2 linked regions of the Notamacropus eugenii genome follow. The protein of the gene in region 2 purifies or fractionates together with the protein of the main gene of each other region. This does not show direct contact. Links are inferred from orthologs where the notes say so. Each region holds a gene or a part of one and is shown on either strand. Other genes may lie near its edges. The genes, in order: ENDOD1 and TMEM43.

The links.
Region 1: the proteins of TMEM43 (region 2) and ENDOD1 purify together in Homo sapiens (affinity purification with mass spectrometry; 3 studies listed by BioGRID and IntAct, with this or other methods). This does not show direct contact. The link is inferred for Notamacropus eugenii from reciprocal best matches to the Homo sapiens genes TMEM43 and ENDOD1.

Annotation. Positions count from the first base shown.
Region 1 is NC_092876.1:163,261,842-163,277,217, forward strand, and holds the start of ENDOD1 (endonuclease domain-containing 1 protein), read right to left. Parts: upstream 6,868-15,376; 5' UTR 6,643-6,867; coding exon 6,346-6,642; intron 1-6,345. UniProt on the Homo sapiens protein: May act as a DNase and a RNase. Plays a role in the modulation of innate immune signaling through the cGAS-STING pathway by interacting with RNF26.
Region 2 is NC_092874.1:429,414,845-429,430,031, reverse strand, and holds the start of TMEM43 (transmembrane protein 43), read right to left. Parts: upstream 7,468-15,187; 5' UTR 7,341-7,467; coding exon 7,329-7,340; intron 433-7,328; coding exon 283-432; intron 1-282. Other genes in the region: CHCHD4 (mitochondrial intermembrane space import and assembly protein 40), read left to right, coding at 7,903-7,924, 12,647-12,745. UniProt on the Homo sapiens protein: May have an important role in maintaining nuclear envelope structure by organizing protein complexes at the inner nuclear membrane. Required for retaining emerin at the inner nuclear membrane.

The sequences.
Region 1 (15,376 bases), on a different chromosome or scaffold from region 2:
TATCTGGAGTTGGACCTTATTATGTAGATGGAAGCTGGAAGAGATTTCATCATCAGACTGGCTTAGATAATGATAGGATAAACTACTTTCTAGTATTTTGCAAGGATCTTTAAATTATTCCTAAAGTTGAGATTTAAATCACCCTGAAACAGTAAGATGTAAAGGAAAAATAATCATTAAATGCAGCATAGAGAGCTCAGAAAAATCCTCAGAAAAAGAATTTGTTTCCCAACTATATGTATCATAGTAGGAAAGAAGACCTGAAGGATTTACTTTGGACAAAACCCCACTTAGCTTTCTAGTTTTACCCAGGACACAACACAATGGATTGGAATGTCATTGCTCACCATGTTTGTATAATGGAATCATTCCCTTTTCAGCAATTGGCTTCTTGATTGTTCAGTAGAGAGAGATAGGGCAAATAGAGCTCACATTTTCCATCAACTAACTCATGCCTTCATTCCCTAACTATCTACCATGTACCTCTTCTGTTCAAGGCTCTGTGCCGGGTATTCTAAGAGATCATGGGATCAGTCTGAATCCCTCATTTTGCAAATGAGGAAACTACACACTGATGGCAGTTCAACGACATGCCTAAGATGCTATCAGAGCATCTTTGTAATGGCTGGCTGGTCAATGAGGAAGTCATTTTTGGTGACATGCTCTTCAACCCTGCTGAAAAGCTTCCTTTTGTCTTCCTTCTTAACAGCTAGCTGATCTTCATATGCTACTTTATGGTTTAGGAAGCCCTTTACAGACATTATCTCATTGGATTTTCTCAACAAAATAGGGGTAAATTATAGTTTAGTAGTAATACTGTTCACTGGAGTCTCAACAAAAGCAACATTATCTTTATATTTTTAAACAGCTTATAACCATCACCTGTCTTCTTCTCCAACCCCCAGTGGCTATTACAAGTAGAAGTGGGGGAAGTTGTGGGCGTCTTCTGTCCTACTTCCAGTAGTCCAGAGACTAGAAAAAAAATTGAATCCTAGCAATGGGAAAGTGATGTCAGAATACTAGATGCTAGTTCCTTGTGTTTCAGATCCATCATGGAAGACTATCTGCATACACTTGTCTTCTCCAGCATGCTCCTAAGTCGCATATTTTACAGGGTTTTTGGTATATATATGTATATATGTATTCATATACACATATATATGTGCATACATATATACATACATACATACATATATATATTTTCTCAGTTTCCATGGTGAAAGTTATAGAGTCAAAGGTCTACAACTGGAAGATACCTCAAAGATCATCTAGTCAAACCTTCTGAATTTTTAGAGGAAGGAACTGAGACTTTAAAGGGTTAAGTGACCTTCCCAAGGCCACAGGTTGTGTCAAGAGGAATCAAGTCTTCAGTTAAGCCAAGGTTTGTATTTGCTCCATCAAATAACACTACTTTCCTCATAGCAAGTTTTCTATTTTCCTATGCCTCCAGAAGGTGCACCCTCTCCCTTTCCCCCTTCCCCCCTCCCAGATTTTCCTTTGGTTCAGTCAATGTAATTGAAAAGATCTAGCTCATTCAAAGATGTATTCCCAGGGTTCTCTCTCTGGGAACCTGAGATCCACAGCTCTGTCACTGACTCACTCAATAACCTTAGGCAAGGGCGAAGCTTCCCTTTTGTCTTTGTTCCTCCCCTGGATGATGAGGGCCTAATAATAATGCTGACCTCATAAAAGTGTGTCCTAGGTTGAAGTGATTCACAGTCATGAATTATTTTATGCCAAACAAAATGTGAACCTCAGAGCTAAGTATCTCTCTGTAATGGAGCTTGATATTAAAGTCCTACCTAAAATATCACCATCTCTAAGAAGTCTTTCCCAATCCCCCTTAATGCCAGAGGCTTCCCTCTGTGATTACATCTAGTTTATCCAGCATATATCTTGTTTGTACATGATTGTTTTTATATTGTCCCCCTTCTTTGCACCCTCAGTGCTTAGCAAAGGGCCTGGCACATAGTGGGTACTTAATAAATACTAATTGACAAATTGACCTTAGTGGGCATAAGACATAGGGAGCTGTTATGTGTTCTTCAACTCTGTTGAAAATCATATTGCTTTTGTCCTCCTTCATCATAGCTAGCTGATCTTTGTATCCTACTTTATGGTTAAAAAAGTCCTTTATGGATATTACATCATTTGATTTGCTCAACACTCTTGTGAGGCAAGAGGTTTGTGTCATCCCTTTTTCCAGGTAAGTAGACTGAGGCATAGAGCAGTTTAAGTGAATTGTAAAAGTCAGACCACTGTCCAGTGGTAAAACTCAGGTTCAAACCAAGGTCTTCTGATTTAAAACTCAGTGTTCTTCCCATACCATACTACAGTTGTTCCTCAGAACTCATAAGTGGCTTCCTATTGTGGCTAAGATAAAATGCCAACTCTGTGGCACATTTAAAGCTTTTCATAATTTGGCTCCAGCTGACCTTGCCAGACAGATTATGACACAGTCCTCCCTCTTACACACCTTCTAACCAAACTGGCCCTTCTGATGTTTTTTATACGCTGCATTCTGTTTCCTGATGTGCTTTTGCCAGTGCTGTCCCCTGATTGTTGTCCCTCCTCAGCTCTGCCTCCTACAGCAGAATTCCTAGCTTCCTTCAAAGCTGCCATCTACCATCAACTAAGCAATCAATTATTTTTTTAAAAAGTTATTAAATGTTTACTATGTTCCAGGAACTATGTTAAGCATTGAGGATACAAAATAAAAAAAAAAAAGCAAAAACTATTTCTGCCATCAAGAAGCATCCAAGGGAAAAGCAACATTGCAAAAAGCTAGGAACCTAGAAAAGATATAGAAGGCAATCATCTCAGAGAGGAAGGCAAGTGGGAAAGGTTTCCTGGAGAAAGTAGGATTTGATCTGAGATTTGAAGGAAGCCAGGGAAATTAAACAGCAAAGGTGAAGGTCGATAGGATTCTAGTCATGGGAGGACATCAATTGCAAAGGCAAAGAGATAAAAGACATTGTGTGTAAGGATGGGATCCCTTCCATAGTTAATGTTCTTCACCTCCCCTCTCCCCACAAATTATGTTTTATTTACCTTACACGTACTGTGTATTTACTTCTACGAGTATATGTAGCATCCCCCCTCCCTCCCTCCAGTAGAATATAAACTCCTAGAGGGCAGATCATGTCTTGGATTTTTTGACTTTTATATCCCCGATTCCTATCACAGTGCCTGACACATATTAAACCCTTTAACAAATGCTTCTTGACTGATGAATGAATGAAAGAATGGCTGCATTCAGAAGTCTGGCTCTTAGTTAAGTTGTCCACAGAAATGGTTCTTGGTACAGCATATATGGCTTGCAGGCAGATGCAATGCCCTTAGCCAGTGCAGGTATGAGGCACCATATAAGACATAAAGTGTTCTGACCTAATTAGATACTTGGATCAGACACAATGCTGACTGAGGCAGGGCTTGGGTATCTCTGCTCAAGTAGCCAAATTCTCATCATGCTCTACAGTACTCCAACAAGTATATCACAAAAAGTTAACTTCTAATTTCTAGAAAGCACAGAAGGAATCAAGAGCTAAGAAATTATCTAGTCCTTTAAAGTAAAGGCAACTTCAACTATCTGAAGGACTCTTCATCTCTAGCACAGTGCCTGGAACGTAGTAGCTGCTTTAAAAAACTTGTTCAGTCAGCTTCACTAAACATTTATTGGGCATCTACTATGTGCTGAGCTACAAGTTGAAGATACAAAAAAAGATAAAAGACAGTCCCTGCTTTCAAGAACCTTCCAGGCTAAAGGGGGAGACGACATGTAAATAAATCCCGACTATTAAGTGAAGGGGAATTAGACTTACGTGCTTGATCTCCAAAGGCAGAACTAGGATCAGTAACAGAAATTGAGGGGAGAAAGATTTTGGCTCAGTATATCAGCTAACCACCTAACAACTGGAGCTGTCCAAAAACAGAATGGCCTATCCCAAGCAGCAGCAAGTTCCTTCTCAATAGAGATGCTCCAGCAGAAGCTGGATGCATGTTACGTTACATGGATGCATGCAACTTGCCAGATGTTACAGAAGAGATTCATGTTTTAGGTAAATGTTGTTCTGCATGACCTCTAAGTTTCTTTCCAAATTTGAAATTTCTTTGATTCTATGAAATGCAGTCTCAGAGATACTAAGCAATTTGTCCAAGGTTACATAGCTTGGCACAGAGGCAAGGACACAAGCACGGAACCAGGACGTTAAACCAGGTCTCCCAATTCTTAGACCTTGTACTTTCCAATACCCGCCACTACCATGTACTTCCTTATTTAGCCTTTTGGAAATTCTCAGCCTGCCCTTGGAGTTCCTTTATCAACTTTTTCCCTCTCTCAACTATCTCATCAACCTTTCTTTTCATTATTCCCCACTACAGACTTCCTATTCTGACTAGACTGATCAGCTTACTATGTCCTGTATGTAATTTGCTTGTTCCTGATCTTATCCCTTGGCAGATGTTCTTCCCTTCACCTGGGACCACCTCCTTCCTTTGTCAGCCAATGCCTCTTGCACTCCATTCTTACTCAAAACTCACCTCCTCTAGAAAGTTTCTGAAGGCCCATTCCACTCTGATCACTTTTTTCCTCTCTGTGTTTATGAACACATCGTGTTTCCTGTGTATTCTTATTCCTTTATATCTTCCTAGTATGGGATGGTGGAGGAGAGGTGGCTTCTATGGTGATGTATTTATACAATGAGCACTTAAAAGATATTACAAGATAGCAGCTATATTTCAAGGCTTCCAAATAAACTCATTCTAAGAATGGAAAACCCAGATGCTTGTCTTGGTATTCATCTGGGTGGGGCTGGAGGGGGTACAGGCTATGGAGATCAGGAACAGGTTGGGCTAGGGTGTGTTTATTACATCAGAAGGCTTGGGAAGGATTTGGCATCAAGGTGGACAAGGGTAAGAAGGTTGGGCAAGTGGAGAGTGATGGGAAACCCTGTCTCTAGGTGAGGAGTTATTGGCTTCTGCAAGAGGGAGAGACAGTGTTTGTATGTATGTGTGTATGCATGTACATGTCAATACCACAATGCCTTAGAAGTAGTATACCAGGTTGGGGAGAAGGTATGGGACAGAAGGCTAAGTGTGGAGGGCCATTTCAATTCCTCTGGTTGGCTGACATAGCCCACTGCAGGGGGTGACTTGACAGATGAAGGCTTGATTTCTGAATCCTTGGGGTTGATACTGAAGAAATGAAGAATTGGGGACAATTATTTTGTCCTTCTTACCAAGCCAATAGGTAGAGACATTCCCTAGGCCTTTGTTATTCCTTTTTTTAAAAATCCAAAAGTTTCTTAAATTTTTTTCTCAATTTGACAATTCCTGATATTTTCCCAAATGTAGAATGGGAGATAAAAATACAATGAATAACAGGAAACACTCCTCCAAATTCCAAAATTTCTTCATTGTGAAGAAATTAATACCTCATAACGTCTCTAAGTTGAAATCATTGTGCATGTTTTTGTTTTTAAGCCTTGTGACCAAATGATCTTCCTCTTCTTTTTTTTGTAAATAGTATTTTATTTTTTCCAATTACAAATACAATCATACTTTTATCCCTTTTCCATAGTGGAGCAGAGAAAGCACTGAACCTGAGTTCAAAACCTGGCTCTATGAGATGCATGATCTGGGACAAGTTCATTAACCTTTTTGAGCCTCAGTGTCCTTGTAAAACAGGGAAAACATAATAACACTCGTATGACCTATTTCACAGGAAAACAGCTTGTAAACTGTAAAGCAAAGTATGCATGTAAGGTAGTATCACATGGGACCTATACTAGTCGAGTACCTTATAATGTTGTATGTGCATCATCATCCATATAGATAAATTTCTGTGTAGAGCAGTGGATCTTAACCTTTTTATATGTGTGTCATGGACCCTTTTGGCAGTTTGGTGAAGCTTATGGACTCTTCAGAGAAAAGTTTTAAAATTAAAAAATAAGCATAATTAAATATGTAGGATTACAAAGGAAGTCAATTATTTTGAAATACAGTTATCAGAAAAAATTAAAAGTGAGATCAAGAAGAATCTCTCAGGGAACCAAATGGTTCCTCTCTGCATTTCTGAATGTTGCAGGGACTTGGATGAAATGTTATAAAGTTTATGAGCTGAAATTCCAATTTTCTTAAGCAGAGTAAAAAGGCTTAGGGGTGAAGGGGGAGAATTTGAATTCAGGTAGGAGGAAGGCAATTTCTGGCACAGCGTTTCACCGGGCAGTGCCCATCACCCCTCATGTTATTTAGGCCCCCTCCCTCCTTATTCTGAAGCAGAAGGAATTGCCGGTCTTCTCTTGTTTGGGTCCCACTGCAGAATATCTACAAAGCTGTTTGACTCACCTGGGGTTCGATCATCCAACCCTGCTCCCTACTCTCTCCAGAGACAGCATATCGAAAAGCCGAGTAAACAGGTATCTTTTCTTGGGTGCTGTACAGGGTAGCAAAGCGCTCCTTGCCGTTGTATTTTTGACAGATTTTCACGTGGAAAGGCTCAGCCAATCCTTTAGGCGGGGTCTCTTCATAAAAGAACTTGTTACATTCAGCAAAACCGGCTTCATCCTCCCGGATAATTCTGCCCTGTATGAGCCAGGAGAAAACAAAGAGGCTGCAGAGGAGAAGGAGAGATGCTGGTCTCATGTTGGACTTCCTGAAATTCACTGTGCCCTCCTTCAGCTCTGTGGGCTGGGGGCTCTCTCTGAGAGGTCTGAGACTGGAAAGCAGCAGAGGAGCCCTGCAAGTGGATTGGAATCTGGGAATGGTTTACAAGGGAAATGAAATTCGAAACCCAGCCCTTCCCTTCTGGGAGTGGACTCTTTCTACAGGCAGGGCACTGCCAAACTGCATGGAAGCTGTAGGGTGTCATGGGCTGCAGAGACAAATCAGCAACTGGAGGCTGTACCTTTGGGTTCCCCCTCAGGAGATGGCTTTAAGGACTTGGACTGCAGCTATCCGAGTGTGTAGAGAAGGAAAGGCTTCAAGGAAGGTTGAGTCCTAGGAGATAAGGGGCGTGTGTGTGTGACGTTGATCCCAATGCTCAGGATATAAATGTCTGAATTTAGAAAATTCAGAGTATGAGGATACAAGCCTAGGTTCTGGTGCATGGCACATCTTTCCTGAGAAAGTGCTGTCCAGAGCTAACACGGATCTAAAATGTAGCGTTAACTATAGACTGCACGGTAAATGCATATGTAAAATAGTTACATAGTTGTTCTTCAGTGGAAAATTTCAGAGAAAAAAATGAAATGCAAGGAACAAGACTGATTTTTATGTGATACATAGAATTTATCTCATTATTTTACAATTAACCCACGTATGTACACCTACACCCACACCCACCCCCCCCAGACCCCCCCCTCCCCCACACACACACAACCAGGTACCTGAAACTGCCTGGAGAATGGAAGAACAATTAGCAATTTCCTAACTCTCATACTTCTATCTAAAAGATAACCATTAGTTAATTTACACTTATTTTTCTTCCTCATAAGTGTCAGTACATGAAAATCATAGACAAGGGTAAAGGTCATAGGCGTTAGTCCTCTAGTCAAAATATAAATAAATCCCCTCAAGAATAGTTTAAAGAAGTGGTGCCCTAACTTGTTTGAAAATTTGGCTTAGAAAACTCGCTCCTTTCTGAGTAACACATTCCTTTTTGAGACTGCTCTAACTACTTGGGAGTTTCTCATTTACTAAACCACAGCTTCCATCCGTTGGTCACAGTATTGAATAAATTTTGTGTTCTTTCTGTGAAATGCAAGCAATAAAATTCAAGCATACTCATGGAAATTCAAACGCAATATAATTCATCCTGGTGTTTCTCAAAAGCTGTATGGTACTCATCCTTGTAACCACATGCATTTACAAGAGTCTCTCCAATCATTCTTAGCAAGCTACAAATCCTCCCAGCAAAGAATTAGTGCCACGAGCAAGAAGTTTGAGAAAGATTTGAGTTATTCTGATAGTCTTAATGAGGTGAAAAGGTTTAGACTTAAACCAATTATTATTTGAATGCTTTGGGTACAATAAGCCATATTCAAAGCTTAACCTTCTTTCCTCTGGCGTGGTTTTTGATTTCCCACCTTTATGACAATCCATATACCTCCTCTACTTTGAAGACTCTGCTGGAAATTTGCCTCCTGTACAAAAGTCATACATATGGCTCCATATGTATGTCTCCATATTATGTTCATAGCTAAATCGTGGTAATTTAAAAACAAACAAACAACTTTTCAAAGATAAATTGTTTTAATGCCACATCACTACTCCGATTTTTTCCATTATGGATATATATGTGTGTGTGTGTGTGTGTATGTATATGTATATATATATACATATGTTCATATGTATATATAAATCAGGTGGCTAGCATATGTATATACTGGGGAATGGAAATGAAATAAGCAATAGTAACAAAACCAGATTTAATAATGACAATGCTGAATAAGGGCTAATTTATTAAGCTTTTATTCATTTTGCTATTCCTGAAATATCTTACTTGGCTTAATTTGTAGAATACTGGTGAACAAATTAGCATTTGTAAAAAATATTTAGGCAACAGATTTAAAGCATTTGAGATAATTAAGGGAGCTGAGAAGGTGGAAATTATACCATAACACAGGCTTTATTTTTCCAGGAAAGACCAAGCCCAAGAAAACCAGACTTAACCGACTGGTGGAAAGGAGGAAATGGTGTGCTGAGGTAAGAGGATTAAGTTCCTGCCAGACCTTGAGCCCTTAAAAAAAAAAATGAGTCATACTCAACTGAAATGTGGGAAGAGATATCTTTTTTTCCAGACAAACTGAACCAGAGGTCGTGGTGATGTTTAAAACTAGTCTCAGAGAATTAATTTTAGATGAGATATCTGGCAGGAAGACATTCTCTCTCTCTCTCTCTCTCTCTCTCTCTCTCTCTCTCTCTCTCTCTCTCTCTCTCTCTCTCTCTCTCTTTCTCTCTCTCTTCTTCCTTTCCTCTCCCCCCTCTCTTCCTTTTACTCCTCTTCCTCTTCTTTTGTCCTCTCCCTCTATTTAACCTGCATTCTAAGAATATATCAGATCTGAGAAACTTTCAGAAGCTATAACACATAGACAGTATTCATAATTCATTACTGAATTATATCTCCAAAATGTCTTATAAACTTGAGCAAATCATTTCACCTCTCTGAGCCTCAGTTTCCTCATTTAGAAAAATGAAGGAATTGCACTGTGACCTCTAAGTTCTCTTTCAGCTCTAACATTCTAAGCTTCTATGAAAAGAATCTAAAAGTCTTCATTAGTTCTTTGGTAAAATCTTGGAAGCCAGAGGCTAACTACAAACAAGAATAATTTTGACCAATTCAAATATCAAAAAATATTCTTCCCACCCCTTTATCTATAACCTCCTCTAGCGCAGGCATACACCTAATCTATCCAAACAGATGTCAACTTTTCTTCATTCCACTACCAAAACATACTGTCATTTCTACCTCTTCCCCCAACCACTGTAACTGGCCTAGTTCAAACCAATACTATCTTCTATTATTTCAATAAGCTTCCAATGGACCTTCTGTCTACTAGTTTCTCCCATCTCCAATCCATCTAGCACATTTGCTGCATATTTTTAGTACAAAACTCTCAGATCACATCACCTCCTCTCCTCAAAAACTTTCATTGACTCCCCATTGTCTATAAATAAAATACCAGCTCTACAGTCTAACATTCTAGGTCAGTCTCATTCTGGCTCCAAGTTACCTTTTCAGCTACTCTCCTTTATGTATATTATATTAGAGCAAAACAAACTAATGATACACCCCCATTCTCATCCTGTCCTTCCCTGTCCCCTCCCTTGTCTTTCCTCTTGTTATCCCTTTGAAAGTGGCAGAATAGATAAAAACTGGATTTGGAGTCAGGAAGATCTGAATTCAAATCTTCCTTCAGGCATTTGCTTAACTGGGTGACTCTCTTAGCCTCAGGTTCCACATTTATAAGATGAAGTGGTTGGATCTGTTGCTTTTTAAGGTCCTTTCCAGCTCTAAATCTCTGATTCTATGAATGCCCTCCCTGCTAATCACCATCTTTTTAAATTCTTTCCTTTCTTTTGAGGTTCAACTCTGGTATCATCTTCCTCATGAAGTCATCTCTTCTAATCTGGAAGTGACCTGACACTTCTTAAATTTTTGATAGCACTTTGTATGGAAATTAGGTTGACTTTTTAAAGTCTTATCTATAAAGTACGTATTTATGTACATGTCTTATCTTTATTACTAGATTATAAATTCCTTGAGAATGGGATTGTGTCTGATTTCATTTTTGTGTAAACAGCACCCAGGAAAATATATCTTAAGAAAATATGTATTAATGTTTAACTGAATACCCTTTTCTAAATATATTATTCTTCATATTGTCTGTTTTCCAAGAATTCCCCAATAGCCGCCAATGGGTCTATGGTGTTTTGCAGGTACAAAGGACTTTATTTATATACTGTCTGGTTTAAGCCTCACAACAACTGAGTTATTATCCCTCTCTTGATAGATAAGGAAACCCAGTATCAGGGATGTATATTGACTCACCCCAGGTCAAACAGCTAATATGTGACAGGTGGAACTGACTCAAAGTCCTGTGCTATTTCCAGTATAATATAATTCCCTTTATATCAGCCATTTTATCTTCTTATTCATGGATGAAGCAGTTTATTTCATGGGTGTGAATGGTATTGAAAACTGACCTACATGACATGATTGGGTGCTCTCTGGGCTTCACTCCCATTTCCACAGTCCAGGGACCTTCAAAGATGGCATCTTTCAGGGTATGCTGACAGCAGGGTTGGGAATAGCTGCAGGCAGTATAACTGCAGTGATCTTCCCACCCATCTCTGATGCTTCCCACACTTATGACTTTGGGAAAGTCATTTAATCTCCATGGGCCTCAGTTTCCTTCACTGCAAAAGTACAGTAGATGGAATATAACCTGACAGAGAAAGACATTAGTAGCTGGGAGACATGGAAAGGCCTTCTTCAGAAGATGGTGTTTGAGCGAAGTCTTGAAATGAAGCCAAGGATTCTAAGAGATGGTGAGATGATGGTGTTTCAGGCATGGAGTATAGCAAGTGAGAAGCCTTGGAGTCCAGAAATGGAAAGTCTTGTGAGGAATAGTGAGTAAGAGTACAGTTGGATCATGGTATATGTGAAGGGGAATAAAGTGTGAGATGGCCAGAAAGATAAGAAGGAGACAGGTTGTGAAGAGCTTTAAATGACAAAGGATTTTATATTTAATACTGGAAGTAATGGGGAGACACTGATGTTTATTGAGTAGGAGGTGATATGGTCAGGCTTTCACTTTAAAGAAATAATTTTGGCAGTGGTGTGGAGGATGGTTTGGCATGGACAAAGACTTGAGGCAGGGAAACCAGTTAGAAGACCTTTATAATAGTCTGATCAGGTCAGTGTCCTTTCATGAAGCTTGAGAGGGTAGTTCAAGGATACTTTCTTAAACCCAATTTCTTGTGTAAAGGAAAAGGAGATAAGAGAATGCAAATGCCCCAAGCAATGATCCCAGAATCAAGACTTCTAGCCAGAGAAGGAAGATATTCTGGGAAGCAATACCTCAAGGCATTGAGAGATTTCCCATGGAAACTCATGCCAGAAGAAAATATGTGCAATTAAAATATGTGGATTCCCAGATTTGAGAATATCAAGTTTGGAAGCTTCTAAAAGAGAGAGAAGATTTCTTTATCTAACACTGTTCTAGGGAAAAGAGGATAGTTCCTATGCAGTGTCTTTCATGGAGAGCAAAGCTGGTGTAGGTTCAATGAGAGAGGTATTGTTTATTCAGCAACCTCCAAGGTATGTTTATCTTCTGAGGTCAAGATTAAAACATAGAGTAGTGCAACAAGTTTTGGGGGTAAAGTATCTGTAGGAAAGGGACTCACTGATGTGTCAAAGCTTTGCTCTGATAATAATCCCAAGTTCAGCTACCTTATGAGAGGAGCTAATGGGCTATTTGACTGTTTTATGTGGTTCTGTTTGCTAGCTCTTGAAAACTCTCTTGCTGGCTTCTACTTAGGGCTTCAGCTTGATTCTGAAACTTCTCCAGAAGCTTAGCATTGTTTAGGAATTCTTCCTCTGGGTTCAAAAAATTTAGTTCAGGAGTTCTTCTGCCTGTCTAGGAAATTCTCTATCACACACATCATCACTACAATTTCACTGCTACCAGCTCACATTCCTGCAGCCTCCTTCATGGACTGGTGTCTCCTTCTGCTCCACTATTGTCTCTACTCACTGCCATGGAGCTCCACCTTCTTCTGGAGTCTTGTGGTTTGATGAGGTATGTGGTCCTCTGAAAACTCATGAAACTGGGCTTTAATCCAAGAAATTGAAGTATGTCTATCTAGTTCAGCCATAGTCCAATTCTCCAGCTATGTTTGGTGGCCAGCCATCTTTTAAAAGACCAAGTCCAAGGCTAGCTCAAGCCAACCTTCATACACTTATGGCTCAATCTTTTCAAAGAATATGTGCTTTAAAGAACTAGTGAGTGAGTACTCAGGATAAGGTGAGTTAACAGGTCATCAAGGAAATATCATCAATGCCAAACAAAGGAGTAATCAAGTTAACCTTGTTTAAAAGGAATTAACATTGTCAAGGGAATCTCTCTACATGCCTGTGCAACTATTTCGGTAAATAAAGCTGAAATTCCATAAGCCGAATAATTCAGGATTGACAAAGTATGAAGCTCTTTTTCAGCCTTCTTTTGCTCCGTTAAAAGAGTTTCCTAATGTGTTTTGTTTTCACATTACAACTATTTACAGATTATTCCCATTTTATGAGGTCTCTTGAAACAAAATAAAACAGTTAAGTAAGATTAAAAATTAAGTGATCTTATCTGAAAGTGAAGGCAACATTTCACATAGCATCTCTCTGCCCTTCATATTTTTAAAATGAACAGAATTCTGTTTTCTCTTTTTCATCTTCCGCCCCATTGGAAAGAAAGAAAAGGAAAAACAAATTTTTCTTAACAAACATGCAAAGCTAATAGTCAAATAAAACTAATTCCCTCAATGGCTGTATGTGAAAATGTATTTGTTTCATTCCTCCCCCTAAATCCATGACCTTTGTCACAGATAGCCTGTTTCATCACTGGTCTTGTGGAATCCTGAATGGTCATTGCATTGATTACACCTCATTTGTTTGTTTTTATGATGTTGCTGTTATGCTATAAATTGTTCTCTTAGTTCTGCTTATTTTATTTTTCATCAGTCAATAAAATAGTTCATTTTTATAATATTGATGTTATAGTGTAATTTTTTCTTCCTGTTTTGCTCACTTCACTCTGTATCAGTTAATACAAGACTTTCCATGACTTTTTAAAATCATCTCTTTCCTCGTTCCTTACAGGAGATTACAATGTGCCACAATCTGTTCAGTCTTTCCCAATTGATGGGCATCTCCTTAGTCTCCATCACAAAAAGAGCTGCTACAAATATTTTTTGCACATAAGGACAAAAAAAGATCTTTGTTTTTACCAGATGCCTACAGATAACAACAGCATAAAGTTATTTTTCCTATATGTGCAGAATTAAAAATGGAAAATGGACTTCCTTCAGTAATCATTTCATCATGTTGTTTAAGGGCTTAAATCCATTACTATAAAAATTTGGCACTGGGAAGGAAACAAACAAGCTTTTAATAAGCACCCACTTTGTGCCAGGCACTGTGCTAAGTACTTTAAAAATATTATCCTCACAACAACTCTCAGAGGTAGGTACTATCATTATTATTCCACTCTACACTTGAGAAAACTGAAGCCAACAGAGGTTAAGTGACTTATCTCACAGTAGTATAGAAAGCTGGATTTGACCTCAGATCTTCCAGACTCCAGGTCCAATGTTCTAACCACTGAACCACCATCGCTACCTAATGTTTTTTATTGTATTCATCCTTTCTTGCCAAAGAAGACCATGCCATCAGAGAAATGATGACATGACTTGCACTTGACTTTGTTTTGAGTGAGGGAGGGCTATGCAGGTCACCAGCCTCACTTCTCCTCCAGAGCCATCTGAATCCAATGACCTGATATTCACTGGAAACCACACGACCAAAAATCCATTACATAAACATGTGTGTGAACAATGTTAGACAAATATAAGTTGCATTCCCACCTCTCACCAAAAAAAGAATTTGTTGCTCAGTTGTTCTTCTTCAGTCATATCCAACTCTTTGGGACCCCACTTGGGGATTTCTTTGAAAAGATGCTGGAGTGGTTTGCCATTTCCTTCTCCAGCTTATTTTACAGATAAAGAAACTGAGGCCAACAGGGTTAAGTGACTTTCCTGGGGTCATACTTGCTTAGTGTCTGAGGTCACATTTGGACACATTTGAAGGTCAGGTCTTCTTAATTCTAGGTTCAGAGCTCTAGCTACTGTACCACTTAGCTCTCCATTTCCCCCCGTACACCCCCCACCCAAATTAGTTTGTATAAAATCTCTTGTAGACTGTCTTATGACATTGTATTAAAGTTTTTCATCCTGCATGCCCCCCTCAACAACAGTCCCCAACAAAATAATGTGATATGACAAGAACAGGCTGGAAGATGACTGAGTAATATAATATCTGATTGATTCTTAGATTTGTGGGATAAAAGGCTTATAGTTCTTCTACTAAAAAAATGACAATGCTAGTATTAGAAGAATCTAGATGACTCCTGATCTCTGAAGTTAGAAAAATGACTGAATCATGAAAATTAGTTACTTCAGGTGGAAAGACCACACAGGTTCAAATCCTTACTGTGATTGCAAAAAAGTCCTTTGAAGCAATACTCATTAGGTTTCATCATAAGGATACATAAAGATGAAAAAATTCAGAAGCTTTGAGAGGACTGTCAGAGACAAGTTCTCTCTCCCCTCCTGTTCTCCCCCCCCCCTTCCCTGTCTCCTCCCCTTCCCCTCTCTTCCTCTCTCTCTCTTCCCCCTTTTCCCTTCCTGCCCTTTCTCTTTCCCCTCTGCCCACCTCTTTCTCCTCCCTGTGGTGAGTAAAATTGTAGCATAGGCAAGCTGAGATACAGTTTTCTCCAGGGCAAGATAACAATTTTTTAACAGTGACAGGTAAACTCTTAGTAATATAGCTCACACTGGCCCATCTCAACCAAAAAAAACAAGTATCTAAGTATGATCAATTTATAAATTAGGTTAGCATTAACCAATACATTATGTCAATAGCCTTTCTCAATGACCAAAGACCCTGAGTAAGAGTCAATAGGGTCCTTTAAATTTAGGTGTGTCTCCCTTCTGGTTGACTTGACAGTACATCATATGGACTGCCACTGGCAAAGATAAGACAATCTCACTTGGTAGACATTTTAATAAGGAGGTGAGTTAAGAGTTACCTCAGCTCCTCTCTACTACT
Region 2 (15,187 bases):
AAAGACAAGAGAGAGAAGAAGAGTCATTCCGGGGATAAAGTGGTGAAGGATGTTAATCATCACCTCTAATCACCTTCAGCAACCCACCTGCAAAATCCAAGCCTTACTAACTCAAGAAACTGAGGACTAATCTGACTTCCACAGCGATTTTCCCAGCTCTCCATGTTACATAAGCTAAGAATGAAGCCATCAGGCCCCTGAGAAAGGGGAATTTCTGGGTAAGCATATGCTATACTCCAGGAGAGGGGGCAGTAAGGCAATGCTGATGCTCTGGCAGCTCACCTCATTCGTAAAGATCAGGTAGAAGGAAAGTAAAAATGTCATCAGTCCAACAAACATGCCCCCCGACGTTTCACTGAGACGCTCCAAGAAGCCTGGCTGCCGTTCAGCTGTAATTCTGACATGTTCTTTTCTGTTACTTGTATCAGAGTACTAGAAAAGGGGAAAAAGACACAAAATATATACAGATATTATACATATATCATAGTACTAATCAACCTGTGATTAATTTAAAATCCATTAGAAATCACTAGCATAGTTATAAGAATAAAAGGTATCCAATTTTTTCCATTACAACACCTAAGTTTATATTTCCCATGGCTGTTTATTGTAGGATCAATAAAAACTGCAAAGTTTATAAAGTATCAAGAATACATTACCCAACAAACATTTATTGTACACAATCACAATAGTAACAACAATGAACAGCTTATACACTTTGTAACACACTCTCCACACACATACATATACCCCATTTTACAAGTGACCAAACTCAGGCTTAAAGGGGTGAAGCAATCTGCCAAATGATTAGAAAGTATCAGAGCCAGGATTCATCTCCAGGCCTTCCAAGAATATGAGAACTTTTGCACCATTTGTGGGTCGAATGGTCCTAGACACTAGGTGATAAAGTGCTAACTGCAAGGATGCTCCCCCTAGAGATCATGGCCAGTGCTTGCATCCCAAGACAGTCAAGAAATAATCTCAACATGCAAAGTACTGTTGAGCTCATAGGGAGACCAAGGAGAGGACCTCTGGCCTTGAAGGTACACATAGCCTTTTCTCTGAGCCTTCGTTTCTTCATCCGTAAAACAGGGACAAAGACGTTTGCATTACCTACCTCATAGAGCTTCTGTAAGAGTCATGGAATAAAATGGACATGAAAGAGCTCTCTCTGAGGCTGTAACATGCTATGAAAGTATAGAACCACCAGTCCAGGAGTGAGGGCCCTGGGGTTAGGATGTACCTGAGAAAGTCTCTCATCACCTCATCAAGAGAAAGAAATTCCCTTAGTCTTAGCACAGGACAATAGAAGAAAGCAGCCCAGGACTTTGATCTCCTACACAACGCCTGAGGGAAAGCATTCCCAGTGGGATTCCACTATTAGCTTTTTAGCTATCCCAAGGACCTAGCTCAGACTACAGATGATAGATTTAGAGCTGGAAGGGACCTCAACCATCACTTAGTCTAACCTCATTTTACAGAGGAGGAAACTGAGTCACAAAAAGGTGAAGAAACGTGTTCAATATCACATAGTAGTAAAGAGAGCTGGGATTTGAACTCAGGACCTTTGACTCTAAAGCCAGCACTTTTTCCATCCCCTGGCATTACATGCCAATTTTATCATCCCTATGATAATAAGGGCCATGATGATGCCTTACTCAATCTGAGCAATCCATCTCTCTTGAGTCTGTTTCTATAGCTATATGATAACTGACACCAATGCAGGACTTACAGTTTTCATACATTATTTCTTTGGAGCCACACCAAGACCCCATTTTCCAGGTGAGCAAATTGAGTCTTAGACAAGTTAAGTGACTTGTCCATGAATACAGAGCTAGTATCAGAGGTGAGATTGGACTCAGATCTTCCTGATGTCAAGTCCAAGACCCCAACTGGCCCTCAGGTCATGCACACTGCCTCACAATACTTGCACTACCAACTTCACAAAATACTTGCGAGGAAGGTGGTCTGTAAGTTATAAAGCCCTCCATGAACATGACTGACTACTAACACTATGGTTTCCACAGCATGGAAGGCTCAGGGCTTTGTACCCAGTAAGCACCAGGTCAATGGAGCAGTGAAAAGAACCCTAGAACTGGATTCAGAAAACATGGCTTCAATCCTCACCTACAAACTCTTATTTCTTTAATTTTATAAATCATATTTTTCTAAAAACAGTCCAATGAGATAGTTAGTCACTTTCTGTTTTACTAACACAGAATCACTGCTAAGAGCATAGAATTAGAGATTGGAAGCCAAAAAGTCTACTCCCTCTCCATCTCATTTTGCAGGGGGGGAAACTGAGGCATAAAGCTGTTAAGTGACTGGTCCAGGATCTTGATGCAAGGAAGGAAGGAAGGAAGAAAGGAGCATTTATACAGTGTTTACATGTGTGAAACACTGTGCTAAGCATTTTACGAAAGTTATCTCATTTGATTCTCACAACTCTTGTGAGGTAGGTGCTATTATTACCCCCATTTTTTAGATGAGGAATGGAGGCAGAAAGACATTAAATGACTTGCCCAGAGTCATAGTGGTAAGCATCTGGGGCTGGATTTGAACTCAAGTCTTCCAGACTCCAGGTCCTAGGCTTTATTCACTGTACCACCTAACTGCAGAAAGAGCCAGAAACAGAATTTGAACCCAGGTCTTCCTAACTCAAAGCCCAGCGTTCTTTCCACTACAGGTAAGACAAGCTTTGCACACAGTAGACACTTAATATTTACTGAGTTATTACCATTTTGAGATTGGGAAACAGAAACTTAGAATTGTTAACTGACTTACCTATCCATGGTCATGAAGTTAGTCTATCTGAGCTGGAATTCTAACCTGTGATTTCCTAACTGATAGTTTCCAACAAATGAGACCCTAGCTTCTCAAAAAATGAGCAACCTTGATTCCAGAGAATCCATGATGAAGCATACCCATCTACCAACAGAGAGGTGATGGACTTAGGGGGCAGATGGAGATACTTTCTGGACATGGCCAACTATTTGTTGCAAGAGGGGAAAAGAGGCTTCTGGGAGCCAAGATGACAGAGTAAACTGTAAGTGCTCTCACCCTCCCCTTGTTGACCTTGAAAAACCCAGAGAATATTGCCCCAGGAAAAATCCTGGAATAGTGGAGCCAGCAGAAGGGGAACAGCAGTCTTTTAGTTCGGGAGGCTATGGAGATCAACGGGAAGGATCCCTCTTGCTGCGGCTGAAGAGGGCCAGTGTAGGACTGGAAGTGTCCCAGCAAGTCTCACCTCAGTGGACCAGTACGAAATCCTGAGTCACAGTGGAGTGGAGTCAGTAAGCACCAATACCAGGACCCTAGGCATGCCTTAGCCAGCCAGGGAAATTTGGCAGATACCAGCACAGACAGGGTTCACCAGCCACCAAGCCTGCCCATGCTTTAGCATAGCCCTAGGGAAGGAGGACACCTCCAGTGGTCAGACCTCACCTCATGCCATGAGCTTCAGTGTAACCTAGGGGAACTCAGATAGACTTCACCTTGGCACACACCAGCCAGCTCAGCACCAGATAAGCTGCAACATTATATAGCTTCTAGTTGACAGAACCAGAGGTCACAGCACACAAAGCCAGTAACTACATCCATAACTCCCAGCGCAAGAAACATGGGACAGAGCCCTCTGTGTTCCAGAAGCAGAGATCCATTTTGAAAGCCAGTAAAAAGGCAATCACCATGAGCAAGAAGTTCATTAGAAAAAGCAAACGCTATTGAATTTTATTACGGGGATAGAGAAGATCAAAATATGAATCCAGAAGAGGACTGCATTGATATTATACCCATATCTGAAACCTCAAAAGGGAATATGAACTGATCTCTAGCCCAAAGAGCATTCTCGGAAGAGCTCAAGAAAGACTTTAAAAGCCAAATTAGAGATGCAGAAGAAAAATTAACCAACCACTTTAAAAATACAATCATCTCCTTAAAAAGTAAAATTGGCCAAATGGATAAGGAAATACAAAACCTAACAGGAGAAAATAACTCCTTAAAAGGAAAAATTGGACAAATGGAAAAGGTGATACAAAAGCTAACCAAAGAGAACAATTCATTAGAAATCAGAACTGGGCAAGTAGAAACTAATGACTCTATGAGGCATCAAGAATCAGTCAAACAAAATCTAAAGAATGAAAAAATAGAAAAAAACGTAAAATATCTCATTGGAAAACAACTGACCTGGAAAACAGATCCAGGAGAGAAAAATCTAAGAATTATTGGTCTAACAGAAAGCCATGATTAAAAAACAAAAAACAAAAAACCTTGACAGTATATTCCAAGAAATCATCAAGAAAAACTGCCCTGAGGTCCTAGATCCAGAGGGCAAAATAGTCATTGAAAGAATTCATCAATCACCTACGGAAAGAGATCCCAAATTCAAAAATATTATTGCCAAATTCCAGAATTATCAGGTCAAGGAGAAAATACTGCAAGCAGCCAGAAAGAAGCAATTCAAATATTGAGAAACTACAGTCAGGATCACACAGGACCTTGCAGCTTCTACATTAAAAGATCAGAGGGATTTCAATATGAAATTCTGTAAGGCAAAGGTGCTTGGACTACAACCAAGGATCAATTTACCCAGCAAAGCTGAGCATAATCTTTCAGGCAAGGAGATGGACATTCAATGAAATAAGGGATTTCCAGGCCTTTCTGATGAGCCTGAGTTGAACAGAAAATTTAATCTTCAAATATAAGATTCAAGAAAGGCAAGGCAAACGGAAAAAAAAAGAAAAAAAACCTTTTTATTCAATATAGGCAAACTGTATACATCCCTCTATGGGAAGATGATACTTGTTAATCTTGAGAACTGTATATTTATTACAACATTTAAAAGGGATATAGATAGATACAGCATGTGAGTATAAATTAGCTAATGTGATGATAAAAAAAACCTAATGAAGGGGTGCCAAGGGAGAATAGGAAAGGAGGAGGCAGAAAAGGGTAAATTACATCACATGAAGAGGCACAAAAATATAGTATAGTAAAGGGAAAGAAAGGAGGGGGATGAGCATTGTTTGAGCATTACTCTCATTGGATTTGGTTCAAGGAGGGAATAACATACTAAGTTAAGTATAGAAATCTAACTTGCCCTACAGGCAGTAGGAGGGGAAAAGGGGAAAGAAAAGGAATGGGTGGTTTGAAGGGAAGGAAGAAGTGGTAAGGGAAAAGGGAAAGAAAAGGGAGAGGGGACGACAGAAGAGAGGGAAGAATGAGGGAGGCAGAGGACAAAAGTAAACTATTTTGAGAAAGAGAAGGGAGAAATAAAAGCAAAAACAGTAGGGGGGGAATAGGATAGAGAGGAAAACACAGATAGTAATCATAACGGTGAATGTGAATGGCATAAACTCTCCCATAAAATGGAGGTGGATAGCAGAAAGGATTAAAAACCATAATCCTACAATATATTTTTTACAAGGAACACATTTGAAACAAGGGGATACACAGAGGGTAAAGATAAAAGGCTGGAGTAGAATATATTATGCTTCAGCTGAAGTAAAAAGAGCAGAGGTAGCAATCCTAATCTCAGACAAAGTAAAAGCAAAAATATATCTAATCAAAAGAGATAAGGAAGGAAACTATGTCCTGCTAAAAGGCACCACAGACAATGAAGTAATATCGTTACTAAACACATATGCACTAAGTGGTATAGCATCCAGATTCTTAGAGAAGAAGCTACAGAAGTCACAGGAAGAAACAGAGAGCAAAGCTATACTAGTGGATGACCTCAACCTCCCCCTCTCTGGACTTGATAAATCTAACCTCAAAATAAACAAGAAGGAAGTTAAAGAGGTGAACAGAATTCTGGAAAAGGTAGATATGACAGGATAAATGGTCAAAGGATATGAACAGGCAGTTTTCAGGGGAAGAAATTAAAGCTATCTAGTCATATGAAAAAATGCTCTAAATCACTATTGATTAGAGAGATGTAAACCAAAACAATTCTGAGGTACTACATCACACCTATCAGATTGGCTAATATGATAAAACAGGAAAATGATACATGTTGGAGAAGGTGTAGGTGAGCTGGAACGATAATTCATTGTTGGTGGAGTTGTGAGTTGATCCAACCATTCTGGAGAGCAATTTGGAACTACACCCAAAGGGCTATAAAAATGTGCATACACTTTGACTCAGCAATACTACATCTGGGGCTATATCCCAAAGAGATCATCCCACATGTACAAAAATATTTACAGCAGCTCTTTTTGTGATGGCCACAAACTGGAAATCGAACTGGAAATCGAGAGGAATGGCTGAACAAATTGTGGTATATGAATGTAATGGAATACTATTGTGCTATAAGAAATGATGAGCAGGAGGACTTCAGAAAAACCTGGAAAGACTTATATGAACTGATGCTGAGTGAAATGAGCAGAACCAGAACATTATATACAGTGTCCAAGGGCTGTTTTTGACAGACTTAGCCCTTCACAGCAATGCAAGGACCTAAAACATTTCCAAAGGACTCATGATGCAAAATGCCATCCATACCCAGAGAAAAGAGCTACGGAGTGAGAAGGTAGAATGAAGTACTATTTTCTCCTTTGTTATGTTCTGTTTTTCTCATGGTGTCTCCCATTCGTTTTAACTCTTCTATGCAATATGACTAAAGTGAAAATGTGTTTAATAAGAATATACATACAGAACCCATATAAGATCGGATGCCATCATGAGGAAGAAGGGGGAGAAAATTTAAAACTTATGGAAGTGATTGTTGACAACTGAAAACAAATAAATTAATTATTAAAAAAGAAATAAACAAAAAAAAGTTGAAAACATTAATAAATTTTTTAAAAAAACAATTCAGTAGGATGTAGGGAACCAATGAAAATTTTTTTTCAGTAAAAAAAAAAGAGGGGAAAGGAGGGAGAAAAACAGACTTGTTCGTTGAAAAAAAATTTAATTTTTTTTTAAAAATTAAATTCATTTAAATTTTAAAAATAAAATAATTTCTAAAATCTCTTCCAGATTTAAACGGCTCTGAAGCCACAGTGAGTCATTACAGCAGCTAGATGCTCCCTCCCACCTTTATAAGACAAAGTGGCACAGGAGGGAGGGGCCCACCCCACCCAGTCCCAGAACGAAAGTTGAGATCGGTGCCCAACTTGCCGTTCAAGTCGCCCAAAAAGAATCCGCGGTAGCCCCGCCACCCGAGGGGCAACAAGGAATGGGGCATGCAGACGGGTAAAGCAGGCACGCAGACGGCAAGATGCGGCTCCCGAGGCCCCCCGGACTGCAGCCGCGGACATCCCGGGCCAGCTTCGGAGAGCCCAGCCAGGAGGGATCCGGGCTGGGTGGGGCGGCAGGCACACACTTACATTCCGGGACATGGTCAGCCTCGACCTGGTGCTGCCTCAATCTCCAACGCAGGGCAAAGATGCCGGAGGTCGGAGGGCGGAGCTGCAATTGGCCGGAGAAGCAGCGGGAGCCCCGAGAGCCGGGAAAACTCAGCCCTCTCTCCAGATCCGCGAAAGCACGAACTCGGGGGAACAAGGCTGGGCTCGCTGCTACAAAGTTACCACCCACGATAACCGAACGGCTCTACTGCGCCTGCGCGCCGCAAGGTTTCCTGGGAAACGTAGTTTTCTATGTTGAGGGCGGGGGCTTGCGGGAGCCTCCGCCCTGCCCTTCCGCCTGGCCCGGCCTACGTCCGTCTGGGACATGTAGTTTCCTAGGGCTAGAGGAGCTCGGGAGGCGTAGGCCGCTGGGCGCCTGGCTGGCCGGCGGGACGGACGGAGGGAGAGGCTGGGCTGGGGCGCCGCAGGGCAGGCCCTGGGAAAGGGGGCGGAGCCCGTAGAGAGATCACGGCGCCTGGTGGCCACCGCGAGGCCGGAGCGACTAGCGTGGAGAGCGGGTCGGAGCCGGAGTCACGGGAGCCGCCCGGCCTCAGCCATGTCCTACTGCCGGGAGGAAGGTGCGAACGGCCGGGCCGAGAGGAGGCGGGGAAGAGGGGGGAGGGCGCGGGCGCGGGGCCAGGACGAGGGCCTGCGGGGGACACGCGGCCCCCTCCGCGGGCGGGCGCGCGCGCGCGCGGCCGATCGAACGTTGGGGCCCGGGCTGTTGGAGGGCGGCCCGCGTGCTCAGCCCGAGACGCTGCCCGGCGGCGCGCCGGCCCCGCGGGGACCCCCGGCGCCCACCCCCCCGGGGAGTCCGGAAGTTAAGCAGCCCAGGGCCTTCTGGAAACCGGGGCTTCCCGGCGGTCCCCCCCCTCGAGGTAACCCAGACACCTCGCAGGAGGCCCCGGGGTTTCCAGCCCAGACACCGTTAGCTCCCCGGGTGACCTTGCACCAGTCGTTTCCCCTGCAGATTCTGTAGAACGAGGTTGGACCTTCTGCTTCCCAAAGCCCCTTCCCGGCGTAAGTCAGGTTAGCCGCCTTCATCCCAAGCCTGGAAAGGCGCGGGGTGGGGTGCCCAGGTGGCCAATGACCTTCCCCGGCGGAGGAACACATGGCAGAGTTCCCAAGGTCAGCATGGAGACCACCCTCACCCAGACCCGGACGGGGCGCAGCCCCCAAGGATTCCCCATTAGCAGCATCGCCCTCTCTCACCGAACCTGCGGGTGGAGGCAGGGTCCGAGGAGGTCTGGGGCGCGTCCTCCTGACTCGCCCTGGCCTAATCAGCCCGGATCCTGCGCCGGTGTGGGGCCGGGGCGGGGGCCGGGGCGGGGGCAGGGCCGGGGCTAGGGCTGGGACCGGGACCGGGGCCGGGGCCGGGACCGGGACGGCTGCGCCTCTGCCAGAGCCCACCTTGAACTCTGAGCGCTCCTTACCTCGGCGCTGGGGCAGGGACTTCCACTCTGCAGCTCATTTTCTTGTTCCCTGTGCAGTTTGGTCACTAATTCATATCACAGATGCCTGTTGAATGAATGAGTGGGCCCCAGCTCCAACAGGTACATTTTGTCGTTAGATGACGCTTGTGGGATGAATGTGGAGAGATGCTGACCCTCTCACAAAGCTGGTGCTCAGCACTGGCCTTTGGGGTTGGGAGGAAAGGGGTGCCATGAGGAACAAACACACCAGTAACTACGGTCTCATTCCAAAGTTGTGACAGCCTCCCCCAAAAGGTGAAGTGAGAGAGGCACCAACAAGATGGTAGCTCAGTGGAGGGCTAAAGAATATTAGGTATGGGTTGGACTGGATTAGAAGTGGGGAGTCTGGTGTCCCCCGCCTCATCTAGGACCTCCAGCGTGGCCAGTGCAAAGCTGGGATTCAGACAAAGGACCACACTTGAGCACCTGGAGGGCCACTGTTCCCCACCCTTGGACTCTGGGGCTTCTCGAGGTCCTTTCCAATGCAGATTCTCTGACCCTCCTGAGGCCTGGGTGGAGGGACGTTTATCTTTCAGCCAACACTGCCCTGTGCCTGAATCCTCTTCATTTAGTCTTGGCCCAACCTTTGGGTCTCTGATTTTCTCAAACATTTTATACATGCATTTTGTATCATTTTCCTTAGCTTTTGGCATTGTGTTAAGCTTACAAATTCAAAGTGTGGTAAAATGGAAATCAGGGAAAATTTCATGGGAAAAGTAGCACCCAAATTGGTCTTGAAAATGGGGAACCTGAAGGGATGGGGGAGGGGAGGGAGAAAGGACAAGACTGAGGGACTTCTTGTGATCTAGTCTGACCTAAAGTTCAGGAGGAGGAACTGTAGGAGAGATAACTCCAAGGCAGATTGTGGAGATGGGGGCTGGATGGGTGGTTGTACTGCTGATAGTCTAAGAATGCTTTTGTTATTTGTAGTGTAGCTGGCCTGCAGGGGGCCCACCCCCTCCACAGGCCTACTGGTGCCAAGACCCCAGGCAAGTCACGTAACCTGGCTAAAACCAGGATGGGAGTCTCAGCACCAGTGTTTTCTTCACCAGGAGCTCTCTGCACTTGTGAAATTCCCGATTCAGACCCAAAAGGGAGCATGCCTTACTGCTAGGGTACCAGGTGAGATCCTGCCACATGTGGCAGGAACTGCCTTCTTCCTTTGCAGTCTGACCTGCCTGAATTTTCCGTAGCGCCTTTCCATTTTTAAAACTCAGCCTTTCTTCCCCAGATGGGTAACTGAAGAACATTCACAGTGCCCTCAGTAGTAGCCCCTCTGGCCTGGATCACTGGGTCCTTTTTCTCTGAATCACATCCCTTTTGTCACTAGGCCCCTCTGTTAGGTGTCTGTCTCTAGGCTGTAGAGGGAGGGACTGGACTTTCAACTCCTGGAGAGCAGCACACTTCTGGCTTCCCCAACAATGCTACTACCAGTAGGGGGTAACACTCCACCCACATTGACCTGGTTCTTTCCAGTTACATGCTGTTTTACCTACATTTTCTCACCCCGTCTCAGGTGGCAGGAAGGAGCAGACAGTTGGGGACAAAGGGCTGTGTGAGACCTGCCAAAGGAAAAGGATTCCTTGGCTGGATGGAAAGAGGGGAGGGGGCTTCCTGCTCTGGGACTGCCTTTTCTCTAAACCTTTACCTGTTAAGCCTAGAAGTCCTGATATCTGTCTGGCCACTGGATCCAGATGGCTCCAGCAGAGAAAGGGAGGCTGGTGACTTTGTACAGCCCTCCCTCATTGTAATCCACTTCACTTGCAAGAGGTGGTGTCCTCTTCCTGATGTCACAGTTCTCTCTATTGGGGGTTTTCTTGGCAAACATACTGAAGTGGTTTGCCATTTCCTTCTTCAGTTCATTTTACAGATGAGGAAACTGAGGCAATTGGGGTTAAGTGACTTGCCCAGGGTCACCCAGCTAGTTAGTGTCTGAGGCCAGATTTGAATTTAGGAAGATGAGTCTTCCTAACTCTTCGCCTGGTGCTCTATCCACTGTGCCACCTAGCTACCCCTAAACTAGTTTTTATTGACTTCTAACTACTAGCTTCTTGAAGAATCAGGCTCCTTGAGATGGGTATAGAAGAGCTATGTCCCTCTGAAAAAGCTCTTGTTTTATATTTGGGCAGGAGGCGGGCAGACCTTTGAACCTATACACAGAAGCAGATCTCTTTCATAAGATTAAGTGCACTGAACCTGGACGCAACTTTGAATACTCCCTCACCTGGCCTTTGTTCCAGAGCCTTTGTCCTCTTTCTGTTCTAGTGCCTGCCCCTCAGTCCTGGTGAGAAGAATTTCTCCCATGGTTCGTAAAGCTCTTGTAAAGCCAGCTTTGTTTCAGTTGTTCTCCTGCATTAACCCATGAGGCAGGCCCTGACATGACCCTTACTTCATGAAAAATGAAGCAGACCCAGAGGGGAAAGGGATTTGTCCCAGGTCTGTGGTGGCTGAGCCACCCTCTGGTGCCTGATCCAGGTATTTTTCTAACACACTGTACTAGGTAGATGCCCATCAGACCCCTTTGGGTATGTGCCCCATCCTCTGGTGAGTGATTTCTGTTAAGACAAGTGTTTGAGTATCACCTGTATTCACATATCTAAAGCTGTGGAAGAAAGGAGCAGGCATAGTAAAGATGCTTCAGAGAGCCGAAATTAAAAATAAATCAGTGCTGTTATGAGAAGGCAGGTCTGAACTTGCTAGCTAGGGGCAAGATTGAACCGTTAGAGCTGTCCAGTAAAGGATTAGGATGTCCTGTTCAATGGTGCCACTTCCCTGGGGTCTTTCAAGCAGACCAGATAGCCTCTGGTCCAGCAGGGATCTGGGGGTGGGATAGAGCGCTATCTCCACCTTTGAGCCCCCTTTAAGAGCCTCACTTTAATCCTGGGCAAGTAGGAAGACTCTAGTTCTCAGCCTAAATTAGTCTCTCCTCTCTGAACGCCACAGTTTCTGTATCTTCAAAATGAAGGGGCAAAGAGAAGAGGGAGAGAAGGCTAGTCTGGCAGGACCCAGCTTTGGCCTGGCGGGTCTTTGTGAATTTGTTGTGTCAGGGCACAAAAGAACCTCACAGACGTGTTTCAGCCCTGACTGGCTAAAATCAAATTAATCCTGCCACTGCCCCTTAGGTCAAGGCTCTTGGTGTAAAAGTCCAGGAGACATTTAAAGGGGGCTAAAAGAGCTGGCACGTTCTCAAGCTGCTTTGATAAAGTCTAGCAGCCAGTTCAAGAGAAGAGACCAGTTCTGCTGTCATCTGCCCTGGTGAGACCTGAGTTCAGATGTGGCCTCAGACACTTACTAGCTCTGTGACTGGGCAAGTCGTTTCATTCCTGCTTTCCTCAGTTTCTTTGTCTTTAAAATGAGGATACTAACAGCACCTACCTCCTAAAGTTGTTGAGAGGATGTAATAAGATATCATTCTAAAGCTTTAGCACAGAGCAGACACATAGAAGGCGCTATAGAAATGCTGGTGCCCTCCTCCATCCCCCTCCCCATCTAGAGTATTATGTTCAGTTCTGGGAGCCCTGTTTTAAGAAAAGGACGTTGAAATATCATCATAGGAACAGTTGAAGGAACTGAGGATGTTAAAGCTGAAGAGAGAGTAATCACTGTTGTCAGATAGCCCAAGGGTTGTAGAAGAGATTAGACTGGCTTGGTTTAGCTTAGAAAAGAGGTGGGTGAAAATGACTGGAAAGGTGGATTCTGGCCCAGTCTGCAGCAGTGTTTGATGACTGCTGCCTGACCCCTGTATTATATTATTACTATATATTACAGGTATGTTGTTAAAGTTAATACTTAGCTGGGACTTTTTTTGGTCTTTCTTCCAAATATCAGGAAAGGACCGGATTATATTTGTGACGAAAGAAGACCATGAGACACCAAGCAGTGCTGAGCTGGTAGCCGATGACCCCAACGATCCCTATGAAGAGCATGGTCAGTAGCACTTCATTTCTAAGTTGAAGAAGATTTCTTCTCCCTTCCTCCCCCCATCCCCTGTAAATAAGAGCCCATGAGCAAGTTTCTCCCCTGCATTTCAGGAGCGGGTCAGGGCCCTGGCAGGGAGGGACAGGTCAGGTTCAGGAGGGTCACCCTTTCTCCATGTTCGGTAATCTGAGACCCCTAAAACCTCTCCACTTTTGCTGGGTTCTGTTTTCTGAAATATCTAGAGTGGTCAGACCAGCTGCTGGTCAGTCCTATTACCATCTGTTTCATCAGCTCTTTTACTTAATGTGGCTATGGGAAAAGCTAAAATGCTGTAGGAACAGGTTGTTGGCAGTTAAGAATTCCCTCATAGCATAACAGGGCCTAGCATGGAGGTGACCCTGCTGGCTTGAAGGCCTGGCCAGTGGAGCACAAGCTGCGACAAGGCCTGCTGGGGCAAGAAGGCTTCACAGGACCTTGGAGGTCAGGCAGACCATCTCATCCAGCCTGTGGAAAAGCCTTTGCTTCAAGACCTGAAATGGGGAGGATCCCACCGAGGCAGCCCCTTCCACCTTGGATGAGCTCTCCATTCCCCCTTCTGTTTGCCCTGCTCTAGACTGGCAATTCTTAAGCTTTGGATGTGATGGTCTGGTGAAGTCTAGGGGGACCTCTCCTCAGAATAATGCTTTTAAATACACATAATGAAATGTATTGGTTTACAAAGGACAGCAATTGTGTTGAAATATACTTAAAGGAATGTATTTTAAAACAAGTTCACAGAAGCCAGGTAAACATGCCCTGCTCTGGACTAGACCCTCACAAGGTTATCCAGCCTAAAACCTGGCTTTCCAGACAGGCCTGGGCTAGCCTGCGGTCCTGACCCAGTTAGGGTCACAAGAGCACAATGTCCTCAGGTGGGCGTTGCGGGGATGGCAGCTCTCACGCCTATCTGCACAGTTGGGGAAGCAGTTTGGTCTTTGATGGAGGAGGGAGCACCCACACTGGTGAAGCAGGAGGTGTGGCTCTATTGAGGCACGAGCTGTGGTGGGTAGTCAAAGTGAAGATGAAGAGATGAAGAGTGCACTTTTGCTTCTTAACTCAGCTGAACAACTTTGAAATCTTCAGTTATTGATTTAAAAGCCAGAGAACTCTGTCATCATCCAAAAAGTACATTTCCGCTAAATGTTGTAGAGACTCTTCTGACCAGTCCTCAGGAAATTTAACATTGACTCTAGGAAGCAGTTCCCAAAGAAACCACATCAGTTTATTAGTAGGCCAGTCGCATTAAACCGTGAATTGTTTTCAGCTTTCTTTCCTTCTTTGTGCATGGCCAAGGAGGTGGGAGGAGAACCCGGAGGCATCCAGTGGGCAGGAAAGGATAGGCCCTGAGGGCCTCTGCTTGCTCCTTTTTTGCTGAGGAAGCAAACTGGAGCATGAGGTTGGCTTTGGGGAGGTGGAAGCAGAATCCCCATGTCTGAGTCTGAAGCGTGGTGTTGAAGGACGAGGTCAGAGTCCTGTTAGAGCAAATTCAGAGGGACCATCCCTGTCCTTTTCATGTAGGAGGGTTGTTGTAATGGACAGTGCTTGAAATAAACTGTCAGGTGTGGCTTAGCTGCCTTTTCTTGTACAGATTATTATAGCTTTGACTTGTAAAAGAATTGTATGCAATGAATTTTGTCCCTTTGGAACAAGGTGAGGAAATCGCTGGTATGGGCTGCATGATGTGGTGGACAATCCATCTTTGGGATTATTTGCATATGAGAGATGATGTAGGGTGTTCTCTGGTTTAATTCTTTCACACAATTTTTCTGCTTTTCTCAAGCGTCTGGAACAGGATTTTCCTTGCCAGGCTGCTTGTTAAGGGTGGGACTCTGGTGGGAGGGGAGGGGGTAGGGGTGGGGGGGCACACTCAGCTGACAGCTCCCAGGCACAGGATTAGGGTAGCAGGGGGACCTGTGGAGCTGAGGAGGGTCTCCAAAGAGGACCCAGAGATAGGGACTGCAAAAGAGGCTTGGGGATTTCCAGACTCACCTTGGCCATTTTCTTTTTTTTTCCAAATTTATAATTTATTTGTTTTCAGTTTTCAACCATCACTTCCTTAAGTTCCAGATTTTCTCCCCTTCCCTCCCCAAAACAGCATGCAATCTTATACGGGTTCTACACATACTTTCTTATTAACCGCATTTTCGCAGTAGTCCTGTTGCATAGAAGAATAAAAACAAATAGGAGAAACCATGAAAAAAAATGACTCCATAGTTCTTTCTCTCGATGTGGATGGCATTTCGCATCATGAGTCCTTTGGAAATATTTTAGGTCCTTGCATTGCTGTGAAGGGTTAAGTCTGCCAAAAACAGTTCTCACATACTGTGGCTGTTACTGTGTGTAATGTTCTCCTGGTTCTGCTCACTTCACTCAGCATCAGTTCATATAAATCTTCCCAGGTTTTTCTGAAGT